Linked DNA regions of Canis lupus familiaris. The protein of the gene in region 6 purifies or fractionates together with the protein of the main gene of each other region. This does not show direct contact. Links are inferred from orthologs where the notes say so. Each region holds a gene or a part of one and is shown on either strand. Other genes may lie near its edges.

Region 1 (4,941 bases), on a different chromosome or scaffold from region 6:
GGGGGGGCGGCCGTGCGGGGATCGGAGTATGAGGCAGGAGGGGGAGGGGGAGGCGCTACGGGGGTCGGGAGGCGGTGCAGAGGGCGGGGCGTGAGGCGGGACGGGGGAGGGGAGGCGGTGCGGGGGGGGGCGGGGCGGGGTGTGAGGAGGGAGGGGGCGGCCGTGCGGGGACTGGAGTATGAGGCAGGAGGGGGAGGGGGAGGCGCTGCGGGGGTCGGAGGGCAGTGCAGGGGGGCGGGGCGTGAGGCGGGATGGGGAGGCGGTGCGGGGGGGCGGGGTGTGAGGCGGGAGGGGGAGGGGTGAGGCGGTGCGGGGGGGGGCGAGGTGTGAGGTGTGAGGCGGTGCGGGGGGGCGGGGTGTGAGGCGGGAGGGGGAGGGGAAGCGGTGCGGGGGGCGAGGTGTGAGGCGGGAGGGGGAGGGGAGAGGCGGTGCGAGGGGGCGGGGTGTGAGGCGGGAGGGGGAGGGGTGAGGCGGTGCGGGGGGGGGCGGGGTATGAGGCGGGAGAGGGAGGGGAGAGGCGGTGCGGGGGGGGCGGGGTGTGAAGCGGGAGGGGGAGGGGAGGCGGTGCGGGGGGCGAGGTGTGAGGCGGGAGGGGGAGGGGTGAGGCGGTGCGGGGGGGCGGGGTATGAGGCGGGAGAGGGAGGGGAGAGGCGGTGCGGGGGGGCGGGGTGTGAGGCGGGAGGGGGAGGGGAGAGGCGGTGCGGGGGGGCGGGGTGTGAGGCGGGAGGGGGAGGGGAGGCGGTGCGGAGGGGCGGGGTGTGAGGCGGGCGGGGGAGGGGAGAGGCGGTGCGGGGGGGGGCGGGGTGTGAGGCGGGAGGGGGAGGGGAGGCGGTGCGGGGGGGCGGGGTGTGAGGCGGGACGGGGAGGGGAGGCGGTGCGGGGCGGGGGGCGAGGTGTGAGGTGTGAGGCGGTGCGGGGGGGGCGGGTGTGAGGCGGGAGGGGGAGGGGAGGCGGTGCGGGGCGTGGCGCGGGGGTATGTGCGGGGAGCCGAGGCCCCGCCGCTCGCCGCCGCCCTACCGTCCCCGTCCGCCTGTCCCTGCGCCCCGGGCGCCCCGTCGGAGCCACGCGCTCTGGGCTCCGGAGTCCTGGGGGTCAGGGGTCGGGGGCCGGGGGTCGGGGTCGGCGATCGCGCATCCTCTCGCGGGCCGGGAGGCCGAGACGCCCCGGAGTCCCGCACGCGGGCAGGTCACGAGTGACGGCGAACGCGTGCGACGGGGAGACGCCGGCCTGGGGCGCCGGGTCGGGCCGAGCGGGCGGGGCTGCGGGGAGAGCTGGGCCGGCGCGCCCGGGGGCGGGGTCCCGCAGGGCAGCCGGAACCTCACGGCAGGGTCACGGGGGTCGGGGCGCCCAGCGGGCGAAGGCGCTGCGCGGACGCGGGCCCCAGGGCTTATCCCCGCCCCCGCCCGCCCCTGCTGACCGCGGCCTCCGCCTCGCTCCCCATCGGATTCCCCGCCGACACCCCGGCGCCCCGACGCCCCGACCCCCGAGTCCTCCGGGCTCCCCAGTTCCCGGGCCCGTGACCCCCAGACACCACGTCCCCCGAGGACCCCGAGCTCCGGGTCCCCGCCCCGCAGGCCTGTCCGCCCCGCCCCGGTCCACCCGCCCTCCGCCCCCTGGGACCTCCGGCCGGGAGGGGGCGCCGTGACACCCGGAAGCCGTGCCCGAGGACGCCGGAGCGCCCGGAAGTGACGCGCATCCGGCGGAAGTCCCGCCCCCACCGTCCCGCGTGGCTGGCAGCCGGCATGGCGCACTACAACTTCAAGAAGATCACGGTGGTGCCGTCCGCCAAGGTAGGCGGCGGAGGGGCGGGGCGGGCTGGGCCTGCGCCTCGGGGGCACGGGGTCACCTCCAGCGCCCACCGCTCTTACGCCACGTAGTCTCCGGACTAGGGCCGCCTGGCTTAGCGGGGCCCCGGGGACGCGGAGGGGCCTCCCTCGGGTCGGGGGTTCCTCCCTCGGGGTCCTGGGTCCCTCCTTCGGGTCGCGGGCTCCTGGTCCCCCCCCTCGGGGTCAGGGCTCCCCCACCTCGAGGTCCTGGGTCCCCTCTCGGGGCCACGGGTCCCTCCCTAGGGTCCTGGTCCCCGCTCGGGGGTCACGTTCCTCCCTCGGGGTCAGGCCCCCCCTGGGCTCGGGGGTCGTCTCCAGGGCCGGGTCAGCCTGGGTCCTGTGCGCAGGGCCCTCCCCCCAGAGGACGGGAGGTGCGGTAGGGTCCCTCGGCCCCGCCCGGCGGGCCACGGGGAGGCGGGGGGGGAGGGCCGTGCCGGCTCCAGCAGGACCCCGTCCCGGCCTGACCGCGGGGGCGCTTCAGGCGAGACCCTGTGTCCTCGCGGCCGCTGCGATCTGGGAGACCACCGAGCGGGTGTCAGTCTTACTGACGTCCGTGTTTCCACAAAGACCTGCGAACTGAAACTGCAGGACTTGTTTTCCCTCCGAGTGTTTTTCTCTGACTTACGCTTCAGGCACCGGACTGCAGGGGGAGGAGCCTTGCTGGGAAGACGGCCTGGAGAGGTTAAGGGCGGGACTGGTCCTGGCAGCCAGCTGCTAAGTGGTTTTTTATAGGCTTGAAACTATGAACGCGAACGGAGTTGAATATAAGAAATTAAAGATATAGTTAGAAAACCGTAGTTCCACACACGGTACCGTTGGTCTTCTAAGAGGGTTTCAGATGAACAGGTAAGAAGCAGACACTTCTGCTGTACCTGCTGTGTCTGATTTGGTTGCAGGACTTTATCGACCTGACCTTGTCGAAGACTCAACGCAAGACTCCGACGGTCGTCCACAAACATTACCAAATCCACCGCATTAGACATTTTTACATGAGGAAGGTCAAATTCACTCAGCAGAATTACCATGACCGACTGTCGCAGATTCTAATGGACTTCCCCAAGTTGGATGTAAGTGCCCCAGGGACCCTGTAGTAAATGGTGTGAGCGTGAGCGTTCAGGTCACCGGTGTCTGCAGCCGGTTCAGGTACTTCCCCGACATGCACACCCGTCACACTTCCTGAGTTGGTGGCAAAGCTGGGCACAGAGCGCAGGTGTTTGGATTTCTGTCCCACAGCCAGAGCCCACGTACGGGGGTCCGGAGCCGTGCTGCAGGCCTTCCCTCCAACCAGCTCAGCTCTCCCAGAGCCTGCACTGCGCCTGGCGGCCTGCCAGCGGGCGTGACCTTCCTCCCTCCCTGTTGGCAAGGCTCTTTCTCCCGTGGTCTCAGGTCGTGTCCGTGGTGCGAGGTCCGCCACTGATCATGCTCGGCTCCGCATGGGCCTCTTTGTGGTCTGGGGGCGGGGGGGGGAGGGGGGCTACAGTCTGTGCATTAAGCTAAAACAGTTGAAGCCTTCCCGGCGTAGTCAAGTTTGCCCGTTGACGGAGCCGGAGAAAGCGAGGGCAGGCACTGCGTGTGGGGTCGCTGTGCAGGTCACACCGCTGCAGGGTGGTGTGAGGGCAGGTCAGCAGTACAGGGGGCGAGCCTGCATTTGCCACTGTCCCAAGATGGCCCGCAAAGCTAGGTTAAGGCAGAGGGGACGAGTTCCTTTAAATTTTTTTTTTTTTAATTTATGATAATCACACAGAGAGAGAGGGAGAGAGAGAGAGGCAGAGAGAGAAGCAGGCTCCATGCACCGGGAGCCCGATGTGGGATTCGATCCCGGGTCTCCAGGATCGCGCCCTGGGCCAAAGGCAGGCGCCAAACTGCTGTGCCACCCAGGGATCCCTCCTTTAAACCATTACAGGTGTGCTTAAAATAAGAGCGGAGATTGTGCTAGTCAACCGGCCTGGCATGCCACAGGTGCTCGCTAGAGGCCGCTTGAACACGCGAAAGCTTTTGGGGAAAGGGTGAGAACCCTAGAAGTTACCTGGGAAGAAGCACGAGAGAATCTGCAGCAGGCTCCGTGCTCAGCATGGACGTGGGGCTTGATCCCACGAGATCATGACCTGAGCTGAAACCAAGAGTCAGGTGCTTAACCGACGGAGCCCCCAGATACCCCCTCACCCACGTTTTTTAAGCTGAGAAGAAGATTAGAGTAGCTGCGCTCGTGCAGTGATTGACGTGTCTGGGTTCTGTTCAGGCCCTGGGAGCACGACAGCCATTAAGACCCGGGCAGTGGAGCAGGGTGGCGGAGGGAGAGTACCAGGGCTGGGTCGGGCGGATGTGCGGGCCAGCTGGCTGCTGCAGGGCTGCCGCAGGGCATGAGTTCTGTCCTTAGGCCTTCCAAGTTGAGCCTCATGCCGCCGAGCGGCCCTTGGGGGGAGCAGACCGCTTGAAGGTGATGCACCGAGTTACACATCTGCGGTGCTGGAGAGTGGAGTGCTTGAGAGGAAGAGCTCGTAGGTCTTCTCACAGGGCGGGTGGCCCGGAGCACCTGCGACAGCAGGGTGGCCATCTGTCCACAGGGGGGCAGGGGAGGCCGGAGGAGGAGGAGGGATCCAAAGTGTGGGTCAGACATCCGCGCAGACGTGCAAGGGGAGGTTTATGAGCGCTCTGGCCTGGAGACGTCTGTGCTCCTAGATCCATGCGAAGTCACCCAGGACGTGAGTGTGGAGAGAGAAGTGCCCCCGGGAACGCTGGTGTTGAGTGTTGGGTGGGAGCACGAGCCTGCAGGAGCAGAAGGTCGGTCCTGGGGGCAGCTGATAGGAAGCATCACAAAGCCTGAGTGGCGGCTGTCTGCAAAATTCCGGGAGGAAGAAAGGAGTTTGGGGAGGGTCCGAGCTGATGACTGTGGACACGCTCCTGGCGTGATGGGGTTTAGGGAAGAAAAGAGCCGTTCCTGTGATGCGTGCGAAGATAGGAGCAGAGGGTCAGGGGCCAAAGGGGCTTGCAGACCTTTACATTTGGGGGGGCGGGGTGCAATGACCAGGTGTCTGCAGGCATGGATTCGGGTCTTGAGAAGTGGGGGAGGGGGCGCGTGCCCAAGTGGAGAGTTGGCTGCCGTGGGAGGGATGAA
Region 2 (3,869 bases), on a different chromosome or scaffold from region 6:
TCTGGTTTTTATATTACTATATAAAGAAAAAATGCAACTATTTCAAACTTACCTAGCTAAAAAGATATTTCAAGGAAGAGTACTGTTAAGAATTTAAATTTATAGACTTGTGCATCTAATGCATCGAGTAAATATATTGGGAACAGAAATGAAGGCATTCTACAGTTGTGAAAAGTTGTTTCCCAATTTCATTGTGGCTATAGGATATAAGCACCCTATTTGATTTTTTCTTGAAAGAAATTACTTCAAATTTAAAGCTTTGTCTTCTGTTTATATCAGTTAATCATGAAGTTTCTGAAAACTTGTTTTATAAAAGTAATAACATTTGGAAAACAATGGAAACATTAAAAACTACTTATACAAGATAATGTGCTTCCATTAAAACGGTCTGGGGAGGCCTTGGTTCAAGTTCAATCACTAACTTGCCACACAACCCGAAGTAAACCCCTTACATCTCTGGATCATAGCTTCCTCATCTGTCAAATAGAGCGTTTAGGTGGATTTTTTTAACTGTCTGCCTCAGATACCAGGGTACCTCAAGGGTTTCTAAGAGGAAGAAATTCGTGAGATGCTCGTCCTCAACCAGAGCAGCCCAGGGTTTTATCTGTTTTTTAGAAAACTCATCTTTGGGTAATGGTGGGAAGGTATTCTGAGTTCTTTCAGATTTTCCATTGTTAGTATGAACACAGTTTTTATATGTGTATATGCCTAAGAATCTGATTTTGTTCGTTTTTATTACCAGGTTTGGAGAAAATCGAAGTTTTACAGCAACATGAAAATGAAGACATATATAAATTAGCTTTTGAAATCATAGATCAATATTTCTCTGGTGATGATGTAAGTATACATTAAAGTATGGTATGCCTGCATGTACATTAAAATATGTACATACTCTGGGGGATCCCTGGGTGGCGCAGCGGTTTGGCGCCTGCCTTTGGCCCAGGGCACGATCCTGGTAGACCCGGGATTGAATCCCACATCGGGCTCCTGGTGCAGGGAGCCTGCTTCTCCCTCTGCCTGTGTCTCTGCACCTCTCTCTCTCTCTGTGACTATCATAAATAAATAAAAAAATTAAAAAAAAAAAATGTACATACTCTAAATTTACTAAGAATTTTCCTTTTATCATTAATAGGACAATTTTATAATATATTTCTATCAGATACTCTTGAAGTGGCATTTCCAGTTATTTTTAATCTAAAAAAATTAATGATTATTTTCCATCAATCATTTGTTTAAATACTGTGTATGTAACATCATTATAAAGTAAAAATATAAAAACAGTTCTTTGAAGGGGCACCTGCTGGCTCATTCAGTAAAGCATGAGACTCTTAATCTTAGGGTTGTGAGTTTGAGCCACACCTTGGGCATAGAGATTACTTTACAAATGCAATAAGAAAAAAAAATTTTTTTAATCTGTTAAATGGGAAGAAATACTACAGTTGACTCCTGAGCAACAAGTGTTTGAACTGCAAAGGCCTACTTATAGGTAGAATTATATATATATATATATATATATATATATATATATATATATATATATATATATAATTATTATATTATAATATATAATATATATTATATATATTATTATATAATATATAATTTTATATATATATATATAATTACCAAACTATCAAATAATCAAATAGGGTGTGTGTGTGTATGTAAAAAATATATATATCAAATACAGGTATATGTATGTAAAATATATATATATCAAATATAGGTGTGTATACACACACACACAGTACAGTACTATAAACGTATTTTCTGGAGCTCCTGGATGGCTCAATCAGTTAAGCGTCTGACTGGCTCAAGTCATAATGTCAGGGTCCCAGGATTGAGCCCCATGTGGGGCTCCCGACTCAGCAGGGTGTCTGCTTGTATCTCTCCCTGGCCCTTCCCCCCATTTGTGTTCTCTGTCTCTCTCTCAAATAAATAGAATCTTTTCCAAAAAATGTATTTTCTATTTCTTATGATTAGTAACATTTTCTTTTCTCTAGCTTACTTCATTATAAGAATATAGTATTTAGGGACACCTGGGTGGCTCAGCAGTTGAGCGTCTGCCTTCACCTCCGGTCGTGATCCCAGGGTCCTGGGATCGAGTCCCACATCAGGTTCCCTACAAGGAGCCTGCTTCTCCCTCTGCTTGTGTCTCTGCCTCTCTCTCTGTCTCTCTCATGAATAAATAAATTAAAAATCTTTTAAAAATACAGTATTGGGGATCTCTGGGTGGCTCAGCGGTTTAGCACCTGCCTTCAGCCCAGGGCGTGATCCTAGAGCCCCAGGATCAAGTCCCGCATCGGGCTCCCTGCATGGAGCCTGCTTCTCCCTCTACCTGTGTCTCTGCCTCTCTGTCTGTCTCATGAATAAATAAATAAAATCTCTAAAAATAAATACAGTATTTAATACATATAATGTACAAAATATGTTAACTGTTTATATTATTGGTAAGGCTTCCGGTCAACAGTAGGCTATTAATAGTTAAGTTTTGGGAGTCAGGAGTTATACTTGGATTTTGGACTCTGCTTTGGGGAGGAGATTGGTTTCCCTAGCTCCTGTGTCGTTTAAGGGTCAACTGTAATTATAGAAATGATGTGTGTTGAGATGAGTAAAATAAATCTACAGATACAGAAACTTAAGAATGAGGCATGGATGAGGGAGGAGGTAAAAAAAAAAAAAAAAAGAATGGAGCAATTTTTATATGTGTTCAGTTTAATTAAATTGTTAAATTACTGGGGGGACTTGGATGGCTCAGTTGGTTGAGTATCCAACTCTTGGACTCTTGATTTGGGCTCAGGTCCTGATCTCAGGGTCGTGAGATTGAACCCCCATGTTGGGCTCCACAGTCAGCAGGGAGTCTGCTGGAGATTCTCTCCCCCTCTGCCACTCCCCCCACTCATACCCACTCTCTCTCTCTCTTTCTCTCTCTCTCTCTCTCTCTAAAATAAATCCTCAAAAAAAAAGTTAAATTTATTAATATTATTATTGATTTACTTGTTTTTATTTATTGATTGAAACATAGAGAATAATTACAACAGGAGCACCTGGGAGGCTCAGTTGGTTAAGTGTCTGCCTTCGGCTCAGGTCATGATCTCTGGGTCCTGGGCTCAAGCCCTATGTGTGGCCCCTGCCTATCCCTCTCCTCTCCCTGGGGAGCCTGCCTATCCCTCTCCTCTCCTACCCCCCCCTCCCTGCTCATGTTCTGAAACTCTTTCTGTCAAATAAATAAAATCTTCAAAAAGAAGAAAGAATGATTACAACATTTGTAAAGAATTCTCTCATAAGAAGAAAGATTTGCTTATACCACATCTAGTATCTTAACATAATAAGGATATTTTTTGTGTGCTTTTTTATAGATTGATGAAGATCCTAGCCTCATTCCCGAAGCAACACAAGGAGGTACTTACAACTTTGACCCAACAGCCAACCTTCAAACAAAAGAATTTAATTTTTGAGTTCAGTTGAGTGCAGCATCTTTCCCAATTCAGTACGAAGCACCACCAGACGGCTACCAAATGACAAGAAGAACAACAAAAGGCTCCAAAACACACATGCCTCTTCGTTTTGATGCTTCTAAAGCAAGCCATGTCTCAGTCACTTTGCAGTTGCCAAAAGTTACTATCACATGGACTGTAAATGCATATGCATGATTTCCTAAACTGTTTTAGAATTCTCCTTAACAATCTCAACTACCCTATTTTTCCCTGTTCCCGGGTGCCACACGCTGACAACTGCAGTCTCCAGTTTAGAATATTCCGTAGCGGTGGCATGTCAGCTGCCCACTTGATATTCCTTTGGAAAACGGTGCGCTGTGGATCAAGACACTTTGGTATGATGCATATACACGTTGGAAGACTTTCAAGAGG
Region 3 (4,405 bases), on a different chromosome or scaffold from region 6:
CTTGGTACTTAGTGGAGCATGCAACTCTTAATCTCGGGATTGTGGGTTTGAGCCCCATGATGAGTCTGGGGATTGCTTAAAAATAAAATCTTAAACAAAAGAATTAAGCCACTATAATAGGGTGAGGACTTTTTTCTGAGCTTCAGAAGCATAAAATTAAAATGCCTGCGTGATAATTCCACCAGATATTTCATGGGTATGTAATGCTCAAAATGTCCAAACATAATTTATTACTTGCCTTTCTTCAATTAAACTATTTATTCTACTGTATTCTTACTTGATGATAATAAACAACTTGAAATCTGAGAGAAAACCTAATAAGTTCCCCTTAATACTCTATCATCAAATCTGTTCAAAAACCTGTAAGACTATCCATTCCTTGAATCCTGTCATCATTTATTGTGGCCCCTTATCACTATATACTTTCCTAACTGGTTCCTGCCTCTTTCTCCAATGGTCCCATTTCCCTGATATCCTTGCTCCATTTAAACATACCAATCCCTCAGATAAAATCTTTAAATGATTTGTAATACCCTGAGGCAGAATTCATTGGGAGTGTTTATAAGATACAGATTCTTGGCCTTACCTACAGTGATGAAGGCAAGGCTCAGATCTGTATTTTAATATATAAAAATTACATTTTTAATAATTAAAATGTTTACATGGGAAAAAACAGTAAAAACTTTTAAAGTATATTAACTATTTACTGGTACTCAACTTCCTAATTAGGTTCTCTATTCTCCATCTCCTATTCCTAACTTGATAGTTATGAATTATTTTCTGTTGCTCTATTTGTTACTTCAGTAACTTTAAAAATACTTCTTTCTTTCAAGCCTCTGAACTCCTCCATTAAGCAAATTGAAGATATGGTCCTCCTACTCTTAAGTTACTTCTCCTTTCATTTACTTCTCCACATCTGTCAGAAATCCTTTCCTTTTATGCTTATCCAGGTTGGTAACATTTACATTTTGTTCCACAGCTACAATTGAAACTACCATGTTCTATCTACATGGTTAATTCTAAAAGCTGAAAGTTAAGACATGCTATTTACATTCTGGGTGGCCCTGGCACAGAATCAGATTTGGGAACTATGGCCTTACAGAATAAAGAATCTGCTGTGCTACAAAGCTTGTAAGACGGCAGGGGCCTGGTTACTGGCTGTATCTCCAGCCTCATCTTTAGGCAGTGTCTACCCCATACTTTGTGATTCAGCAACACTGAACTACTTATAATTTGCTGAATGCTAGATCTCACCTCAGACTTTGCTCATGGTGTCTCTGCCTGGAACACCTTTCATCCCTTTTTACTTTATTAATCCTTATTCATCTCTCAAAATCCAGCTCAGGTGTCACTTCCTGCTTCTTCCAGGATGGATAAGGTATTTCATTTTGTTGTACATTTCTATTAGGGTAATTAGCACATTAAATCAGTTCATATTTATCTCCATGACTAGACTACATGCCTTGAGGGCAAGGACTGTGTCTTGTTTACCACTGTTTTCCCAGTACCTTAGCACAGTGCCTATTTCAAATACAGGGCAGCAATTCAGTTACCTAAGCATATGCAAGAAGCTGAGCAGGACTGTACATATAGAATATAGTATTTACTTTATTCTGTTACTTGATAATCTAAGACAGAAAATACAGAGGTGCTACATTAGTCAGAAAATAAAAAGTAGTTACAAAAAGAACATTAAAACTGTGAAATAATAGCTTGTAATACACTTGCCTCCACATTCTTCTATAAGATTGGCTATGGTTTCCGCCTCATCTTCAGCCATTTTTAATATATTACTTAGTCCATCAAGTACTACTTGCACAACCTGTGCATCTTTTACAGTCAGCAAGTTGCAAAAAGGTGGAATAACATTTTGCTGGATTAGATAGGCCACCTGAAGAATAAAAACACCATGATATAATAAACATCAGTGAACTGTGCGCACCATATGATCACACTGAAATAATTTTGACTTTAAAGTTTTGAGTATAGAAACATGACCTCATTTTTCACGTTATGTTAGACTACATTAGATAATTTTATTATTTTCTTGTTAGATTATTTTACTATGAGATTCCTTCCTTTAATGTAATGTTTACTTTTCTTGAACTTCGGAAAAAACAAGTGATAATGAAGGAATCACTTAACCTCATGCAAAACATCTGCCATAAGGAATACTTTCTTCAAAGATGCTTTCCTCCCCTTTAAGATTAAGAAATTATGACATCTGTAGAGGCTGGATGATAAGGGAACCATTTTTTAAGGGAACCATTTTTTTAAGGGAACCATTGTTCAACATAATAGTATCCAATGTGAGAATGCTGTATCATTTAGAATCCTCAAATACCTGGCTACTTTCAATTCACTATTCAACTGGTTCTATAATATTTTCATAATATTTTTCTTTCATTTTTATATTTTGTTATATTGTCATTTCCATGTACTATATATTTATATTCTGCTCTCTATTCATATTTAAGTGGATTCATTGCTCACCATCAGTCTATAGCTTATTTGTGACAATTATCAGCTTATTGTTTATTAGCTCTAAATTCACTCTTTTTACCTTATCTGTGAAATTTACCTGGAATCTTTTATTTATTTTTATTTTTTTTAAGATTTTATTTATTTATCCGTGAGTGACAGAGAGAGAGAGAGAGAGAGAGAGAGAGGGAGGGAGAGAGAGGGGCAGAGACACAGGCAGAGGGAGAAGCAGGCTCCATGCAGGGAGCTTGACGCGGAACTCGATCCCAGGACCCCAGGATCAGGCCCTGGGCTGAAGGTGGCGCTAAACCACTGAGCCACCAGGGCTGCTCTAGTTCCAGCCTTTTGGTTTACATTAGTTCCTTGCTTTGTTTGCTGCTGGTAAATTTTTGTTGTTTATGTTCATTTGTTATGAGAATCTGTGATGTTGTTTCATTCTATTAAGCTAAAAAGTCCTGTTTTTTTCCCTAATACTGTTAAAAACCAAATATATTTTGACTACATATGTTTTGATCTTACCATGGATTAGAAAATTTTTGTAGGCCAAGATGGTATAAAGAGAACACTTCTCATCTATGAAATGTAACCTAAGAAGTCAAGGTAACACTTTTATATGGGGGGGCGGGGCGGGAATCACAGAATGCCTATTATCTTGCTATTATTTTAAATTATGATTTAACTGAAATCTAAATCTTAGAATTTAGAATTTTTATGTATGTTATTTTACCAGTTCTGAGAAATAAGTAAGAGTTGAACTTACTTGATCTTTCCTCCCACTAATTGTTAAGTTACTTATGGCCCAAGCAGCTTCTTTCTGGGTGCCAAAATCCCCCTGTAAAAGCAAAGAATACAAATTGCAACACAGTGTAAACAGGGGAAAAAATGCTGTCTGAAATGATTTTCAACTGCTTATTTTCCCAAGTTTTTTCTAACCTTTCTATGTGCATACATAATTTTTTACTTAAGGAAGGTTTCTGAATTCAATTTACCCTAAACAAATGTAGACTCCCCTTTGCAAACTCTCCTGGCAACAAAGTGACTTGGTATTACTGTTCAATTAAATCAGATTAAATGAAGTCAGTGATAAAATAAAAGTAGTCCAAAACCCAAAAAGGGGGTGGGGGAAGGAGAATGTACACTTCACTTTAATCAAAGAAATGTAACCTTTTAAACACAAAGTTTTAAAAATGTCCACCATTAATAAGATGATATAATAAAAACATCACCCTCCTATATTACCTTTCAAATATAAACTGAAAAAGTACACTTAAAATCATTTAAAATCATATATGATTTAGTAATTTATTTAGTAATACATTTAATAATCATGAGGTTCTCAAAGTAATATTTAATAATCATATGAGGTTCTCAAATAATATATGAGAATCTTTAAGAATTTACCAAGAAAATAATTTAAAACAAAGTAATATTTTCTTTCCTTCTAGATATTATCGTAGTACTACATACTAGTCAAAAAGTAAAAGCAAGTAGAATTCTCAGCAGTGGAATAAATGACTAATTATGATGAATCTGCTGAATGGAATAATAACCAGTTGTTAAATACAAATTAGACTAGTAACCTGGGAAAATGCTTATAATTAAGAAAAAACTTATATGAGGAATAAAAATCAATATTGCAGTGTGATATCTATTTTTATATATCAGACTGATACAATGTAAATATCTATCAGTGAGACTGGCAGGATTGTAAAATGGTACAATCCTTATGGAGGGAGATGGTATTATACGGCTAAATTTACATAAAGTCTATCTGCACATCCAATAATCCCAAATATAAACTGGTAAAATATTGAAAATATGCACCTTGAAAATAAGGTGCATATTTTTTTTTACTTGGAGACCATATAGTGCTTTATATAAACAAAAACCCTAAACAAACAAAAAATACTAAAGTAATTCCCCC
Region 4 (4,913 bases), on a different chromosome or scaffold from region 6:
CAAAAAGGTCTCTTTGAGGTCAAATCTTAAAAGGGTCCTAGGCTGATGCAAAGGCCTAAGACCCCCTAAGACCCCCGAGGCCCGCTTGCTGAGGGCCTGACACTGGCCCGTAGGCCTTGTGAAGCGCTGCTCCCCTTGCCTCGCCGCCCCGGGACGGGTCCTCTGGGGCGAGCCCGGGCGCGCTCCTCCAGCAGGGCCGCGGGGGCATAGGGCCCTACACACTCGGGGACATGGTTTTAGTTCGGTGACCGGAGAACCGCACAGACCCCCCGGACGATGAACCCCAGCACGTCGGCTCCCAGGACACCTGGGCACGAACCCTGCAGGCCCCGCCGGGCGCTTAGGGGGCAAGGCCAGGCCCTAGCGTGCGCCCCACACCCCGCGGCCCGGCTCCCCTCGTGACCAGCGCTGCTCCGCCGCCCTGCAGGTGCGCCCGGGGCCCGCACCTCCGGCCCGGAGCCCCGCAGCCAGGGCGCCGCGGGCCTGCCCACCTAACTAGCCTGGTCTCCAGGCGGGCCACGCACCCCCGCACCCCCCGCCCCGCAGCTGGCCGTGCAGCCGGAGGCCCGCACCCCGCGCATCCCCCCGCATCCCCCCGCCTGCACCCCATTGGCCCCGCAGCCACCTGCGCACCTCACGGTCCGCACCTATCGGTCCCGCACCCACTGGCCCCACAGCCGGCCGCGCACCCCTTGGCCCCGCAGCTGGCCGCATCCCCACCCCCCACCCCGCACCCATTGGCCCCGCAACGGGTCACAGACCCCCGCCCCCTCGGCCCCGCACCCCACTGGCCCCGCAGCCGGCCGTGCACCCCCCACCTCGCCCCCTTGCCCCACACCCATTGGCCCTGTACCCGGCCCGCATCCATTGGCCCCGCACCCCCTTGCACCCCCTCCCGCCCCGCACCCATTAGCCCCACAACTGGCCTGTATCCTCCCTCCCCCTCCGCCCCCCCCCCCCGCCCCGCACCCATTGGCCCCGCAGCCGGCCCGCACCCTCCCCCCCCATTGGCCCCGCACCCCCGGCCCTCACCCATCGGCTCCGTAACCGGCCTGCATCCCCTCCCCCTCCGCCCCGCAGCCGGCCCGCACCCATCGGCCCCGCAGCGGGCCGCGGCGGCGGGGGCGGGGCGGGCCAGGCCGGGGGAGCCTCGCGGCGCCTGCGGGTCTTTATTCGTGCAGGACTCGGCGGCGCGCCCCCAGCCCCAGCCCCAGCCCCAGCCCCAGCCCCAGCCCCAGCCCCCAGCGTCGGCGGAGGGGCGGGCGGGGCGGGCGGGCGCGAGCGAGCGCGGCGCGGCGGGCCGCCCCCTCCCCGTCGCCCTCCCCTCCCCTCCCCCGTCCGCGGCGCCCCTCCCCCTCCGCTCCCGGCCCCGCCGGCCCCTCCCCCGCGCGCCCGCCCGGCGCAGGCCGCTCGGGTTTGTTTTGCTGAGCGGCCGCCGCCGCCGGGGCCTCGCGAGCTCATTTGTGCCTGGCTGGTCCCCGCCCGCTCCGCGGGGCCGAGCGCCGGGCCGTGGGCTGCTCCGAGCCGTTGGGCTCTCTCCCTCGGTGACGGCGCCCACCCTCGCCCGGCTCCCCGCGCCCCCGCCCGCGCCCGCGCCCCGCGCCCCGCCCCTCCCCCGCGGCGGGAGCCCCCGCCCCGCCCCCCCGGCCCCGCGCCCCCGCCCGCCCGCGCCCGCCGGGGCTCGCAGCGCCGCGCACCCCGAGGGGTTATTTTGGGGGCGGCTGGCGGCGGCGGCGGCGGCCAGGAGGGGACTTTCCGTGCGCCTCGGTTCCCGGGAGGGGGAGCGGCGTCGGAGGCCGGCGTCCCAGGTAAGCGCGGGGGCGGGCGGGCGGGCGGGGGGGCGCGGGGAGGGGAGGGGGCGGGGAGGGGCGGGGAGGGGCGCGCGCGGCCCGGGAGCCCCCTCCCCCGCCGGCCGGAGCGACCCCGGGGCCCGCGCCCCGCCCCGCGCCCGCCCCCGCCGGCCTGGGGGTCCCCGGCCGCCCGCGCCCCTCCCCCGCGCACGGGCCCCTCCTGCGCGTGTGCGCGTGTGTGCGCGTGTGTGCGCGTGTGTGAGTGTGTGTGCGGGGCGGGCGCGGGCGCGGGGCGGCGGGGGAGGCCTTCGGGGAGCCTGTGCGGCAGAGCCGGTGCGGGAGCCATCATGAGGCCGACTCCCGGGAGCCTATTTTTAGCCGAGGAGGGAGCTCTCGGGTGCACGTTCCTCGGTTCGCAGGGGCGCTGTGCCGGCGGCCGCGGGCGCGGGGGGAGGGCGCGGGGGGCGGGGGCGGGGGAGGGGCGGGAGGGCGCGCCCGGGGCGCGGGGGGAGGGCGGGGGCGGGGGCGGGGGCGGGCGCGGGGCCGCGTGCGTGCAGCGGGCGCCGGGGCTGGCGCGAGGAGGCGAGGCCGGGCCGGGCCGGGCCGGGCCGGGAAGTTGGGCTGGGAGCGCGGCCCCGGCGAAGTTGCGGCGGCCCCGGTGAGCGTCGGGCGGCGGGTCCTCGGGACGCGCTGGGGAACTTCCTCCTCGCGGCCCGCGCGTTTCCTTCCTTCCTGGCGTTCGGGCCCCGGCGGACTTTGTGACTGACGCGGCATCGCGGTCCCCGGGCGGCTCGGGAGCCCGTGCGCGTGTTGACAGGTCCGGCTCCGGCACGAGGCCTGCCCCCCCAGCGGCCGCGGCGGCTCGCCCTTGGGTCGTGCGGTGCGAAGGGGCGTCTCCGCAGGGCTCGGGGCGCGCGTGGGGGGCTTCGTGCGGCCTCGAGGGGTGGCCGGGCTCCCGGTACCCTGCTCCGAGGTCTCTTGCGCCAGGCTCCCGGGTAACGCGCCCTCAAGAGACCCCTTGGTGATTGTGAGTGGACCGAGGTTGGGACCTACTTAAGAACGAGATGATTTTTTTCCGTCTCCCCCCTCCCCCCACCCCGATGTCTGGAGTTTACTTAATACTTAAAACCTTGCACTGCGCAGGCACCCAGGTGAGCGGTGGTTTAGGACCTAGTGTCATTCGCAGCCCACTTGGGGGAAGTTCGCCGCGGGCGCTCACGCCGGAGCCCTGTGCTGTTCTCCACGGGCCTGTTAATAAAACGTGGTGGCTGAGAACGACGGGGTTATTTTTAGTCTGAATTGCCTGCCCCCTCCCCCCCATGTAATTAAGTAATCATTTTTCTCCTCCTTTTTTTTTTTTTTTTTTTTTTTTTCTCCTAAAGACTCCTTTATCAGATTGGATAATACAAGGCCCTGGTGGTGTTTTCCTCTTCCTACTAAAGCAAATTATAAAAAACATCCTGGTTAACACACTGAAGGTACAGCAAGTGACTTTTTGGCTCCCCCAGTGTGGTTCATTTTCATTTTCTGCTAAATAAGACCTGTGCTACCCTGGCGTGTTTTAGTGAATCCTTATTTCCTGGGACTCTGTGTTCTCACCATTTTAATAAGTTTATAGTCTAGGGAAATAGGGCAGCTTTGTCTCCATGAAACCTGTGTGTGTTGGGTCGTATCATGGGAGTTGATGGCAGGCAGGCTTCGAGATGATCACTGAGGGTTCCAGAAACAGTTACCGTTTACCTGTGGAAGAAGGGGTGGCTGAAACAAAATATGCCTCAGGGTGGTTAGGCATGTCATGTGTGTTTATACTTTTGCTCTGAATTTGTGCTTTCCTGCCTGTTTGGAATATGATTTTTTTTTCCCTTCCAGTTTTGCTGTAATGCATTGTGTGATGTATGTAACCACAACTGTTACATCTACAAACAACGGCTATTTTTTTTTTTTGTTTGTTTTGTTTGCAATTTGAGTAGTTAGATTCAGACCTATAGGGCAAAACACTACACTGTATGGAGTCCGAAGACCGTTTGTACTTGGAAAAAGTTTTTCTTACTGTTCTGGAACTTAATTAATGGACTTGTTAATGGCTTGAAAATTGTTGCAAAGCTTCCAGTTTATAAGATGCTTTTCTTGTAGCCTGGTGTACCAAAGTTGGTTATTAACACAGGAGACACACGTGGTAAATGATGTGGCCCCTCGTGGAGCTTGAGTTCTTGCACTGGTTGCCTCAAAGAAGCGATCAACATTTTAATGACTTTTTACGTGTGTCCAGGAATTTTTTTGTTTTTGTTTTTGTTACTTGTACTCTCAACATCCAGTGAAGGGTTGTCATGATTCCCCTTCCAGGGGAATAAGAAGGAACCACTTCCTGGGAGCCTTTCAAGCTAATAAGCAGAAAGGGCAAAAGCTTGATATAAATATAGGGGTTACTGATAAAGAGAGATGTGGCTGATGGACCTTTGGAACAACAACCTGTTGAAGACGTATCTGCTCGTACATGGCAGTGAGATAGTACAGCCTTGTCAGATGAGTAGCTGACACAGGCATTCTACTTGTACAAGTTATTCCAACAGAATTACTACAAAGAATTTTTGACTTGACACATTTGGATGAAGTTAGTAGAAGTAATTTGTTGGGTTTATTCAGTTCCTGTGTTTCTTATATAAAAGTTGAGAGGAACGTGATAAACAGTAAGTCAGGGGGCAGATGCCAGAAATACTGGCACCATCCGGGACTGTATTTCTCTAGTACATGTGAATTTGACTCCTTTCATAAATAACTTACAGTGCAAGTCACTGAAATGCAAAAAATAAAGCCCGAAATAAGTAACCATGAGACACGGATACATCCCCACAGTAGAGAAGGGTTAGGACCCGGGGCTGTGTAGTAGAGAATGAGTGAGTGTAACTGGTCCATTTTGGAGGCCACCACGGTGACCTCTCCTGTTTAAACACCAACAGAAACTTTAAAAAAAAAAAAAAAAAAAAAAAAAAAAGGCTGTGAGAGAACTAATGTTGGAGAGGTTTACTGGCTACACCAGCTATGGGATTAGACTCCGGAAGAGTACAGTCAGGCACGGTGTCGGCAAGAGCTAGAGGAAGGGGCCTTGCTTACTTATGCTCTGGA
Region 5 (5,148 bases), on a different chromosome or scaffold from region 6:
TACACAAGACTAGAAGACTCTGATAGTTTGGAACCCTGAAACCCGGGCCACTTAGTAACCATTGAACAAGGGTGGCCAAATGATTGCCCTGATGCCAGTGCTGGGGGGGGAGCAGAACCCACTGCACACGAGACAACCCCAGATCCATTCCTGGCCAGACGGCCTGCTAGGCAGAGACTGGAACTCCCGATCCCTTGGGAAACCTTCCTCCTTGTGGGTCAGAGCTGCACGTGCAGGACGGTTCACCAACAATCTACTACACTTGGCCCTTCCCACTGCCCCAGAGCGCATGCATGCACACCCTTCACTATCCTCTAGACCCTGGCAACAGAGCGAGGGCTCCGTGGGCCATGGTCAGCAGCCAGGCCCCAGCACCAGACTCCTTGCTCAGGACACTGGTTTCACCACCTTCTGAAAGGCTGAGAAAACAGGTCTCCCTGCAGTGCACCACGAAAGGGAAACACCAGCACTCACCTGGTCCCCCGGGATCCTCGGCCCCGACGCCTGCCCTTGACTAGGGATCCCAGGACTTCAGCATCAGTCGCTATGACACAGTCATAGAAACCCTGGTTGAACTGTGAAATAATGTGGCACCTACAGCCCAAGAGCAGAGAAAGGATCAGCCCCCAAAGCCAGCTGAAGGGCCCTCCGACCCCCAACATCATCACGACTGTATTCTGACTCTTCCTTTTCCAGCTCTGCTCCTGCTTCACCTTTAGGCCTCAGCGCCTCAGCTGAAGACAATGTGACAGCAGGAATCTCAGAGCTGTGACACAGAAAGCCAATGAGAAGCACTCAAGCCCAACCCACAGGCTGGGCTCTACCTCCCACTTTAGACACAGGAGCAGCCCCCGTGTCTCTCCTTCTCAGTCCCCTGCTTCAGTGCTTCTCAGCCAAAGCGCCAGAGCGGACAAACCTGGAACACAGTGGGAGCTCTCCGTTGAGCACGCACGCCGGGATGCTGAACTGCTCCAGGAAGAGGCGCAACCGATAGCTCCGCTCCAGGGTGTTGACAAAGAGCAGGCACTTGCCACGAATCAACGACAGCTTGAGCAAGGCGTACAGCAACAGGAACTTGTCTTCCTCTGTCTCGCAGACCACCTGGAACTGCCGCAACTGGTCTGGCCCGGGCAGCTGGGACTCCTGCAGCTTGAGAGTGACCTACAGGAGGTAGGTGCCCCGAGGTCAGGGAAGAGGAAAAAACAGAACTGCCAGCTGCTGGTCCAAGCCAGGGCACAAACGTGCGAGGGCAGAGCACCTGGTGTCCCCTCCGACCAGGTGATGTGAGGACTCAATGTACCCTGACTGTGGTGTACAGAGAATGTACAGTTACAACATGCTGGGGGCCCAGAACAGAAAGAAACACATGATAAGCAACTGCAGTGAGGAGGAGAGCCCCAAGGCAGCAATCTCTCAGGACTCAAGCTCACGTACAGCGAGAGCTCTGACTGTGCTGCTCAAAGCAGCCTTTCTGACTCTTGAGGGTCCCAATTCAGGCCTTTATGTAAAGAAGCATTGTTTGAACCACTACCTACAAATATCTGCAAATACGCAGTGACCGTAAGAAGACGGCACTGTAGATGGCCACCAGTTTCCAGAACCTCCAAAACATGAGCAACTACCCCACCCGAAATACCAAAGAACTCCTTGGAAAGTTAACAATCACAGGCCAGTGGCTCCAGATGCTCCCACAGTGCCCTTACCGGATTATGAAGCACCAGCTCCTTGAGTGCTTGCACATCCTCGTTAAAAGTAGCTGACATCAAAAAAGCCTGGTAAATCCGAGGCAAGTGACTAGAAAAAAAACAGCCTGTCAGATCCCAGCCCTAGGCCCTGGTGTCTACTCACAGCCCCACACACCTCTTCCTTACCAAAGAAGACCTTTGAGTTCTTCCTCAAAGCCAAAGGAGAAAAGAAGGTCAGCCTCGTCCAGCACCAGCAGCTCCAGGGAGTCTCGCAGGACCAAACTATCCTGCTGCAGGTGGTTTAAAATGCGAGACGGGGTCCCCACCACGATGTCAGGCTTCTCCATCAGCACAGCTCTGCAAGCAGCAGACACCTCCGTGTTGGGAAGCAGACAGCAACTCATGCCCCCACCACCACCGCAGGCTGGCCGCGCCTCCTGCTGCACGGAACCCAGCAAACCTGATCCCGCATCCCCATCCCGCATCCCCGTGCAGGTCATCCCTCTAGGGCTCTGTGGCTCTCACCCACCGCTGAGAGGCTGAGTCTTCAGCAGCTGAGACATCAGCCACCCGGATGTCTCGAGCGCAGTAGGAAGCCAGCTGCTGAATCATGGATCGGGCCTGCCGTGCCAGCTCTTTGGTGGGCACCAGGACAAGCCCTCTTACAGCCTGCTCCACCGCAAAGCCTGTCTGCAAGAGCACCAACGACAGACTTCAGCCAGCCAGCCAGCGACCTCAGGGCCACCTGACCCAACCGCGGGGTCTTCCGCTCCACCACCCTGGCTGTGCTCTGACCAGTCCCTCGCTCACCTCCGCGCAGCCCAGAACGGAACGAAGGGTGGAACAGAGGGCCCCTCCCCCAGCACCGCCCGTCAGGGGGCACGGCTCGGCGGCGACCCGGGGATGCACGGACTGCAGCGGGAGCGCTCGGGGGTGCGGCTCACGCTCCGAGAGGGGGCGTGTCCGCCCTTTACAGCCGGAAAACACAGGGCAGCGCTCACGTCGCGGCCGCGGCGCCCGGAGCAGGGCCAGAGCGCGGAGCACACACACCGCACCCCGGGGCGGCCTTCGGGGGCCCCGGAGCCCCCCGTCCCTCCCCCCGGTCGCCCCAGGAGCGCCCCGCCCCCACCGACCGCCTTCCGCTGGAGCAGCAGCTGCAGCGCAGGAATGGCGTAGGCGGCCGTCTTCCCCGAGCCGGTGCGCGCCCGGGCCAGCAGGTCCTTCCCCTCCAGGGCCAGCGGGATGGCCTTCTCCTGGATCAGCGTGGGTCGCGACCAGCCCAGGTCGGCGACGGCCTAGAAGACACGACGCGCGGCTCAGGCGGCGCCCCGCCCCCAGGCTCGTGGGCCCGGCAGCTCGTCCCTCCCGGTACCTGCAGCAGCCGTGGGTCGAGGCCCATGTGCTCGAAGCCCACCGCCTCTGGGTCCGCCATGCTACGGCTCTGCGGGGCCGGTGCGTACGCATGGCAGGAAGGGGCCGACGGCGAGCGGCGCAACCACCAATCAGCGTCCCGGGAGCCGCCCCCCGGAAGTGCTGTCGCCCGGCTTCCGGCGTCCGGGCGGGCATCTGCGGCTGCAGTGGTTCGCGGGGTCCGGGGTCGGTCTGTGCGTGCCGCGCTCAGCGGCTGCCAGCGGCTCCTTCGCCAGCCTGGCCGTCGGAGCTGCGCCGGCTCTGCCCATCTTGCTCGGCCCGGCGGACAGTGCAGACACCTGGGACGGACCGACCGACCGATCCTACCCCCGGGGCCCAGCCGGAGACCCCCGCCCCCCGCAGCCTGACAGCCTCGGTGCAGCCCCCCCCACCTCCGCCCTGAGCCGTCCCTACCCCGGAGCCCAGCCTGAGACCCCCCGCAGCCTGACAGCCTCAGTGCAGCCCCCCCACTCCGCCCTGACCCGTCCCTACCCCTGGAGCCCAGCCCGAGACTCCCCCCACCCCCAGCCTGACAGCCTCGGTGCAGCGCCCCAACTCCGCCTTGACCGGTCCCTATCCCAGGGGCCCAGACCAAGGCGCAGCTAATCCTCATCCTCCCTGTGTTTACTCTAACAAGGAAATCAAAAACCATTGTATAGACATTCAAAGAAACTTAAGTCAGTTATCGTTGGACTGTTCTACACCATCCCGAATTAGAACATAAGGAACATGTAGTTTTAAAAATACTTTAAGAATATTAATGACAGGGACGCCTGGGTGGCTCAGCGGTTGAGCATCTTGCCTTTGGCTCAGGGCCTGATCCAGCAGTCCCAGGATTGAGTCCCACATCTGGCTCCCTGGGTGCAGCCTGCTTCTCCCTCTGCCTGTGTCTCTGCCTCTCTCTGTGTCTCATGAATAAATGAATAAAATATATTTTTAAAAATGTTAATGATAAAACCTAGAAGACAAACTTCCAGATCGTTTTGTGAGTAAAAGTAGGTACACACAGGAAACGGTATAGGACACACGTATGAAAAAAGAAAGCGCTAGTTCTGTAGGTCAAATAAGCAATGTTGTTAAATATAAATAAAACCATGAAATAAAAAGTCAAGAGCGGGCAAGTTTAATACCACACAAGGGCAGAAGGGCAGGATACCAAGATGCTCCAGTTCCATCCTAGGAGCTGAGAAACAACTACTGTATCTCCTCAAAGGATGCCCCACCGGTGGCCTACATGGCCGACCTCTGGGAGTGGCCCAGCGACCGCCCAGCTGTTCCCCCACCCATGGATGCCTGGCAGCTGGCAGCCTGGGCCTGCCTGCTGATGTCCCCCGCAAAGGCCAAGGGCCTTTCCTCCACCTCCCTCCGTGCCTCCCCTCTGCCCGCAGCCTCTTACTTCATCTCAAACACAGCTACTACAACACATTTTATTTCACTGGAAAAATCTGTATGAAGAACCAAATGTGGTTCCTGTGAAGAAAACATTTAGCACAGCTTAAATAAAAGTTAGGAAGGTGGGAGGGTAGGAGGGCCCTGCCTGTGCTGGCTCTGGCACTACCTCGCTCTGGGGCCCAGTGATTGAAATCCCAGTGTCCCAGGGAAGTCTCGGCCCTCACAGTAGGCCTTGGGAGCACCTGTCAGGTGTGAGCCCTGCTGTGGCCCTTAGCTAAAACGTATGGATACACAGAATGCAGACAAGGCTGCAATGCTGGTCATACACAGGCAGGAGCACTTCAACCAGGAAGTAAAATATATATAATTTATCAAAAAATAGTTCTAATATATAGAAAAACATCTCAATCCTCCGAGGCCTCTGCCCTTCTTAACATTCACAAAGCCACTGAGCTAACCCAGGACTAGCGAGGGACAGTGAGGCAGGGCCTCCCCGGTGGGGCATTTCAGCCGCCTACCGCCTAAGTAAACAAAAAGAAGTTAAAGGAAGGGCAGAGGATTTTTCACTTGCTCTTTTTTGTGACAGAATGGAGTGGAATCACTGGAGGTGAGAGGCAAGACTTAGTCCCAGGGCAGTTTTGACTCTGAACAGGCCCCAAAA
Region 6 (5,145 bases):
AGTGCAAAGCTACTTCTGGCCCTGGTTAGGTCTTCAACCTGACTGTGCTTGTCGGTAAGAAAAACATCCCAATGCTCCAACTACTCCCACCCTGAAGCCACGAAACTCTAAGTTTACTGAAAGAAAAAAAAATATTTTTTATTTCAGTTAATCGGGAAGCTTTGTCAGAGCCCTACCCATAAGGAGAAGAGACAACAGCTGCCTTTATTCTTGTTGGTTTGCTTTGCAATCCGCTCTGTGTAAAGTCAGCTAACTCTCTCGGTCACGGGCGTCCGGCTGTCCACAGGCTCCTCTCTGTTTGGCCTTGGCATGGAGGATGAAACAATGTCTTTGCGCTCTCCCTCCCCTCGGTGTTTGTACTTGTCTGCGGCCGTGGCGGCGGTCGCGACCGTGGGCTGAGTCTTAGCTGGCTCCTTGGGGCAGCCGTCGCTCTCCAGCGAGCCTCCTCTCGCCATCTTCTCCTCTTTGCAGACGCCGCTGCTCAAGTCCTGGGGCTCAGGGGGGCTGGCGGGGTCCTCGGAGCTCTGGGGCTCAGGTGGGGGAGGGGGCGGGGGCGGAAGCAGCGGCGCGGGTGCCTTCGGGGGCTCTGAGTGGTGGTGATGGTGGTGGTGCTCCTTCTTGGGGGGTGAGGAGGCGCTGCTGCTGCGCCCCTTCGGGCTGCTCTCCTTGCTTTTCCGTCCGGGGCTCTTGCAGGTCTTCAGTCCCTTTCCACTCTTCTCGCCGAGGGTGGACACCAGCAGGGGCTTCACCACCTCCTTCACCTCAATGCTGACCGTCTCCCGAGTCTTGCGCTTCTTGATGGGGAGCACAGTCTCCTGCACGGACCGGATGGAAGACTCCTTCACGGCTTTCTTTTTGGCCTCTGCGGCGGCAGCTGCCACCACACTGCCTGGCTTTCGGCCCCGCTTCTTGGGAATGGCCTGGGGGTCAGCCTCGGCTTTTCGCTTCCGGCCTGGGCGTTTGATAACCATGACCTGGGCTGACGTGGTGGCCCCGCCCCCTTCAGCCTTGCTCCCGGGCGAAGCTTGAAAAGGCATCTTGACGAGCAGCTTCCCGGGACTTTTCTCCAGGACCCTTTTCACCTGCACACCCTCTGATGTTGCTGCCTTGGGTCTCGCAGTGCCGCTCCCTTTGGGGCGTCCCCGACCTCTGCCAGTTCCTGGAGCTTTGGGAGATTTGGGCTTCTTAGGTGGTTTCTGCTCTCGCCGGGAGGGGCTCCCTCTCCCAGTTACCGTGAAGTCAAAATCATTAGGGTCCAGGGAGGTGTCGCCTACCTTTTCGAAGTACGCAATCAACTCCACTTTAGAGCGAAAGGCTTTTCCCTGGGGACTGTGGGAACAAATGGAGAGACACAAAGAACGATTAGAAGCTTCCCCGCTAATGTACAAAGATGGGGCAGGAAGAATGTGCTGAATTCTGTGACAGGACGTTCTGCAATTGACCTGCCTGATGATACTATTCAATGAGAGTCACATTAGAGAAAAGCCAAAATGGGCTGAAATTAGAGGGGCATGGTCACACACAAAGCAACTGGGTTGCTGGGCGGCGGAGAGCACCCACAGGGTGTGCTCCAGTGACAAGAACAGCTGGGTGTCAGCTGCTCTGCAGCTATTGCCCCTGAGGATCCGCCTACCACCAAGGCCCCTCCTCTGGCTCCCAAAGGGGCCTGGCCTGGAGACCCGCTTGAGCCAGAAGGCTGAGGGGCAGGCATTCTGCTGGTTGGTGCCTGGGCCCAGTCAGTAAGTAAAGCACTCCTCTCTGTCTGAACCTGGGCATGCTGCTTAGCCTCTCTGGGATCGGTTTCCTCATCTGTCAGTAGGATAATGCTTTTTGTTCACCCTTCTCAGAGTTGTTGCGATCAAATGAGGATGTCTGCAAATAAACTGTTTATCTTTTCTGGATCATCTAAGGGCCAGAACTGAAATGTATTTATTCAGTCCTTCTCTGAAGCTCTGGCTTGGGAATTACACTGTTTCTTTTTTTTTTTTTTTTTTTTTTTTTTTTTTAAATTTTTATTTATTTATGATAGTCACACAGAGAGAGAGAGAGAGGCAGAGACATAGGCAGAGGGAGAAGCAGGCTCCATGCACTGAGAGCCCAACGTGGGATTCGATCCCGGGTCTCCAAGATCGCGCCCTCTGCCAAAGGCAGGCGCCAAACCGCTGCGCCACCCAGGGATCCCTGAATTACACTGTTTCAATAGAAAATGCCCAATGACCAGCTCAAAGCTGGACAAATGCACCAATGACAGTTGGAAAGGCACATGAAGAGACACCAATGTGTCCCCAGAGGCCCTGTCAGAGAGCTCACCTTTCCCAACATGATTCAGAGAGTAGACTGAGCCCTCTGAACTCCTACTTCTTCTGGGTCATGCAGCCAAGTCACGGAATGACTGACAGAAAGAAGAGTTGTTTAACAGGTTCTGAGAAGAGCCCATCAGCTGGATGTTTCCCAGCTGGGAAATGAGAGGAACCCAGAGAGCCCTGCTTGCCTTCCAAGCACAGGCCACTACACATGGCAGGTCCTGTGGCCTCTGGGACCAGCCTGGGCAGGGCCTTGTGTCCTCAATGTTTCTCAGGCGACCTCTCTTTCTTGTGTCCTCACTGTGGCCCTGGGTAGGCCCTACTGCGATGCCATCTCCAGACAAGACCTCAAGGGCTGGTGGGGTAAAGTCACACTCAGGGCGGTGAACTCTGTACACAGTCATTTGAAACATACCTGGAGGGGTCTGCAAGTGGTGTTCATTATTGAAGCCACCCCCAGCCCAAGATGGGTGATATACACACATTTTCCTGATCATCGAGTAAAAAAAGAGCTGCCACTCTAAGGGATCCCCATTAGTTTCTCAGCACCTGGCCCCAGCCTCCTGCCCACCCAGCCTTCCCTGCTTTGTAGAGACAGGAGTTGCCCTTACTTACTTGATCAAATACACATCATACTTCCCAGCGGAGCGGCCAGATTTCCTTTGTTTAAGCTTTCGGGTCCAACCTTCAGGCAGAGTGGGGTCGTCATACATGGGTCCCCGGTCACGAATGATAGAGCGTCGCTGTTTGGGGGAGGCAGAAGCTTCCGGGACAGCTGGGGCTGAGCCTGACCCTTCTGAGGTCTCCGCTTTGCCTGCCTCTGCTGGTTCAGCAGAGTGGTGAGCCGGTGGCTGCAGGGGCTCATGCTTGCCCTCTTTGTCTTCTTTCTTCTCTTTCTTCACCTTTTTAAATTTCAGGGGTTTGTCCTTGAGGCCCTGGAGATCCTGGTCTTCTGACTTTTCTTCCCTGAAGTGTTAAATAAGTATGTAAGTATCACAGGGAACACACCGATTTGTAGAAAAAGTAAGCAATGGCGGGTTTGGGGCACCCCAGCACAGGCAGGGCTCTGAGAGACAGGGCTGCCCCACCGATGCTCACCCAGATCCTGATGCCTTTCTCCTTCAAAGATTTCTTTGGGGGCTTTGGGCTTTACCCTACCTGCACTGTGACCACTCTGAGTCCTTCTGTCCCAAGTCCCACTCCTAACAAGCAGGAGAATGAGCGGCATTTTTCTGGGTAGAAACACTAGGTGGCTTCTCAGTGTACTGCCTCGGAAGAGGCCACTTTACAAGCTGTGCCCAACAGTCTCTAGACTTCATGGCTGACAAGAGGCCCTTGACTACTGGAGAGGGAGCTGCCCACCCAAAATGTGGCCAGGGCTCCTCTTCACGAAAGACCTGGCTTGGGTGTTAGTATAGCTTCTGTATTGTAAGTTTTCTCAAATGTGTGCTTGATAAAACAGTCAGGGAGCACGATGCAACTTACTGATGGTGGCAGAGCCTAGCACTACCCCCTTGGGAGATAAGGCACAGCACAGTGCTGTGGAGAAAACACACAGGTTTGGAGCCAGCCCAACCTGAGCTCAAATTCTGACTTGGCAACTTCTAAACATGGACCTGAGCAAGTGACCTCAACATTCCGTGCCTTAGTTTCCTCATCTTGGTAATAGGCACCAACACCCCAGAGGAAGAAAAGTCACAAAAGCACCATATAAACACTAGCCAACTCGGGCAACCAGAAACTGCTGCCCAGGGTTCTGGAGTGAGGAGAAGGCACCCCAGGTCTGCTAAACTTTTATTATCAGACATTCCTTTACAAGCCATGACTGCCTTACACTCAACCAGTAGAAGGGGAGAGCAAGGACAAAGGCACAGAAGAGCACCCTCCCCACTCCAGGGTGGGCACCTCCTTATGCTTTCACACTGACAGAGCAGCTCCTTCCTGCTATTTTGGCTCCACCTGGTAGGGTCCCTTCCTTGTGTGCACTGGAAAGGCCCTGGACCCTGGAATCAGTCCGCCCGTGGTGTTCTTAAAGCAGGGCTAAGAGGGCAGGAACACCACCCACGCTGGGGAGGCTTGGAACCAGCCATCTGCTGGTCTCTCAGCAATTCAGTCTAGAAGAGAATGAGACTATTCCTGCCCTTGATATCTAAGCCCTAGAGCTGCCCTGTCCCATGTGGCTCGTGTCAGCACTGGTCACTGCCTCATGGCCAGTCTACCCCAAGCAACCCCCTTGTTCACACTGTGGAGACTCCAATGGAGGCACTGTGGTATGTACTGGAAACCAGACTCAAATGATGTCAGTAAGCTGCCAAAGGTGGGTTAGTATCAGGACTCTTGGCACCATGAGAACATGCCTTTTCTGAACAGCTCAGGTCAGGGGTTGGGAGACAGGCTTGTCCCTGAGTTCCTCCCTATCCTGGGTCATCCTTTAGCAGCTCAGGACTCTAAAGCATGGCTGCCATGGTGACCCTGATTTAGCCCACGGCCCACAGGAGATCTTCTCTTGCTGTAAAGTGAGGGTCTCTAATCTGTTGCAGCACAGAGCTTAGTTTTCAATTATCACAGTCTTATTAGCCTTTCAGCAGGAATTGAGGAAGAATCCTGAGAAGCTTGGTGTGGCCTATAGCCTGTAGTCCCCCAACACAGAGGGGAGAAGGGGAGCTTGCCAGCAGCAGAGTGGCAGATGAACTGGAATGACCACTCCCACACAGTCCACGGGCCACCGCTGAAGGCCAGGGCTACTCCCTGGAACCTGGATAGTCCTGGAGTCGGCAGACAACACTGCACCCATGGGAAAGGTTTGGTTTCTCCAGAACACTCATTTATATTCCCCAAATAG

Evidence for each region.
Region 1: the proteins of MECP2 (region 6) and GTPBP4 purify together in Homo sapiens (affinity purification with mass spectrometry; 3 studies listed by BioGRID and IntAct, counting the BioPlex papers as one, with this or other methods). This does not show direct contact. The link is inferred for Canis lupus familiaris from reciprocal best matches to the Homo sapiens genes MECP2 and GTPBP4.
Region 2: the proteins of MECP2 (region 6) and KPNA3 purify together in Homo sapiens (affinity purification with mass spectrometry; 3 studies listed by BioGRID and IntAct, counting the BioPlex papers as one, with this or other methods). This does not show direct contact. The link is inferred for Canis lupus familiaris from reciprocal best matches to the Homo sapiens genes MECP2 and KPNA3.
Region 3: the proteins of MECP2 (region 6) and KPNA4 purify together in Homo sapiens (affinity purification with mass spectrometry; 3 studies listed by BioGRID and IntAct, counting the BioPlex papers as one, with this or other methods). This does not show direct contact. The link is inferred for Canis lupus familiaris from reciprocal best matches to the Homo sapiens genes MECP2 and KPNA4.
Region 4: the proteins of MECP2 (region 6) and TBL1XR1 purify together in Homo sapiens (co-immunoprecipitation; 3 studies listed by BioGRID and IntAct, with this or other methods). This does not show direct contact. The link is inferred for Canis lupus familiaris from reciprocal best matches to the Homo sapiens genes MECP2 and TBL1XR1.
Region 5: the proteins of MECP2 (region 6) and DDX56 purify together in Homo sapiens (affinity purification with mass spectrometry; 3 studies listed by BioGRID and IntAct, with this or other methods). This does not show direct contact. The link is inferred for Canis lupus familiaris from reciprocal best matches to the Homo sapiens genes MECP2 and DDX56.

Annotation. Positions count from the first base shown.
Region 1 is NC_049223.1:33,007,783-33,012,723, reverse strand, and holds the start of GTPBP4 (nucleolar GTP-binding protein 1), read left to right. Parts: upstream 1-1,633; 5' UTR 1,634-1,742; coding exon 1,743-1,790; intron 1,791-2,722; coding exon 2,723-2,893; intron 2,894-4,941. UniProt on the Homo sapiens protein: Involved in the biogenesis of the 60S ribosomal subunit. Acts as a TP53 repressor, preventing TP53 stabilization and cell cycle arrest.
Region 2 is NC_049243.1:2,071,766-2,075,634, forward strand, and holds part of KPNA3 (importin subunit alpha-4), read left to right. Parts: intron 1-742; coding exon 743-837; intron 838-3,359; coding exon 3,360-3,458; 3' UTR 3,459-3,869. UniProt on the Homo sapiens protein: Functions in nuclear protein import as an adapter protein for nuclear receptor KPNB1. Binds specifically and directly to substrates containing either a simple or bipartite NLS motif.
Region 3 is NC_049255.1:26,745,795-26,750,199, forward strand, and holds part of KPNA4 (importin subunit alpha-3), read right to left. Parts: intron 3,314-4,405; coding exon 3,242-3,313; intron 1,892-3,241; coding exon 1,729-1,891; intron 1-1,728. UniProt on the Homo sapiens protein: Functions in nuclear protein import as an adapter protein for nuclear receptor KPNB1. Binds specifically and directly to substrates containing either a simple or bipartite NLS motif.
Region 4 is NC_049255.1:40,989,171-40,994,083, reverse strand, and holds the start of TBL1XR1 (F-box-like/WD repeat-containing protein TBL1XR1), read left to right. Parts: upstream 1-1,714; 5' UTR 1,715-1,808; intron 1,809-2,429; exon of another isoform or gene 2,430-2,448; intron 2,449-4,913. UniProt on the Homo sapiens protein: F-box-like protein involved in the recruitment of the ubiquitin/19S proteasome complex to nuclear receptor-regulated transcription units. Plays an essential role in transcription activation mediated by nuclear receptors.
Region 5 is NC_049237.1:14,117,580-14,122,727, reverse strand, and holds the start of DDX56 (probable ATP-dependent RNA helicase DDX56), read right to left. Parts: upstream 3,219-5,148; 5' UTR 3,118-3,218; coding exon 3,058-3,117; intron 2,981-3,057; coding exon 2,819-2,980; intron 2,376-2,818; coding exon 2,215-2,375; intron 2,043-2,214; coding exon 1,872-2,042; intron 1,795-1,871; coding exon 1,704-1,794; intron 1,162-1,703; coding exon 917-1,161; intron 595-916; coding exon 475-594; intron 1-474. UniProt on the Homo sapiens protein: Nucleolar RNA helicase that plays a role in various biological processes including innate immunity, ribosome biogenesis or nucleolus organization. Plays an essential role in maintaining nucleolar integrity in planarian stem cells.
Region 6 is NC_049260.1:123,060,293-123,065,437, forward strand, and holds MECP2 (methyl-CpG-binding protein 2), read right to left. Parts: upstream 3,270-5,145; 5' UTR 3,017-3,269; coding exon 2,919-3,016; intron 1,330-2,918; coding exon 246-1,329; 3' UTR 113-245; downstream 1-112. UniProt on the Homo sapiens protein: Chromosomal protein that binds to methylated DNA. It can bind specifically to a single methyl-CpG pair. It is not influenced by sequences flanking the methyl-CpGs.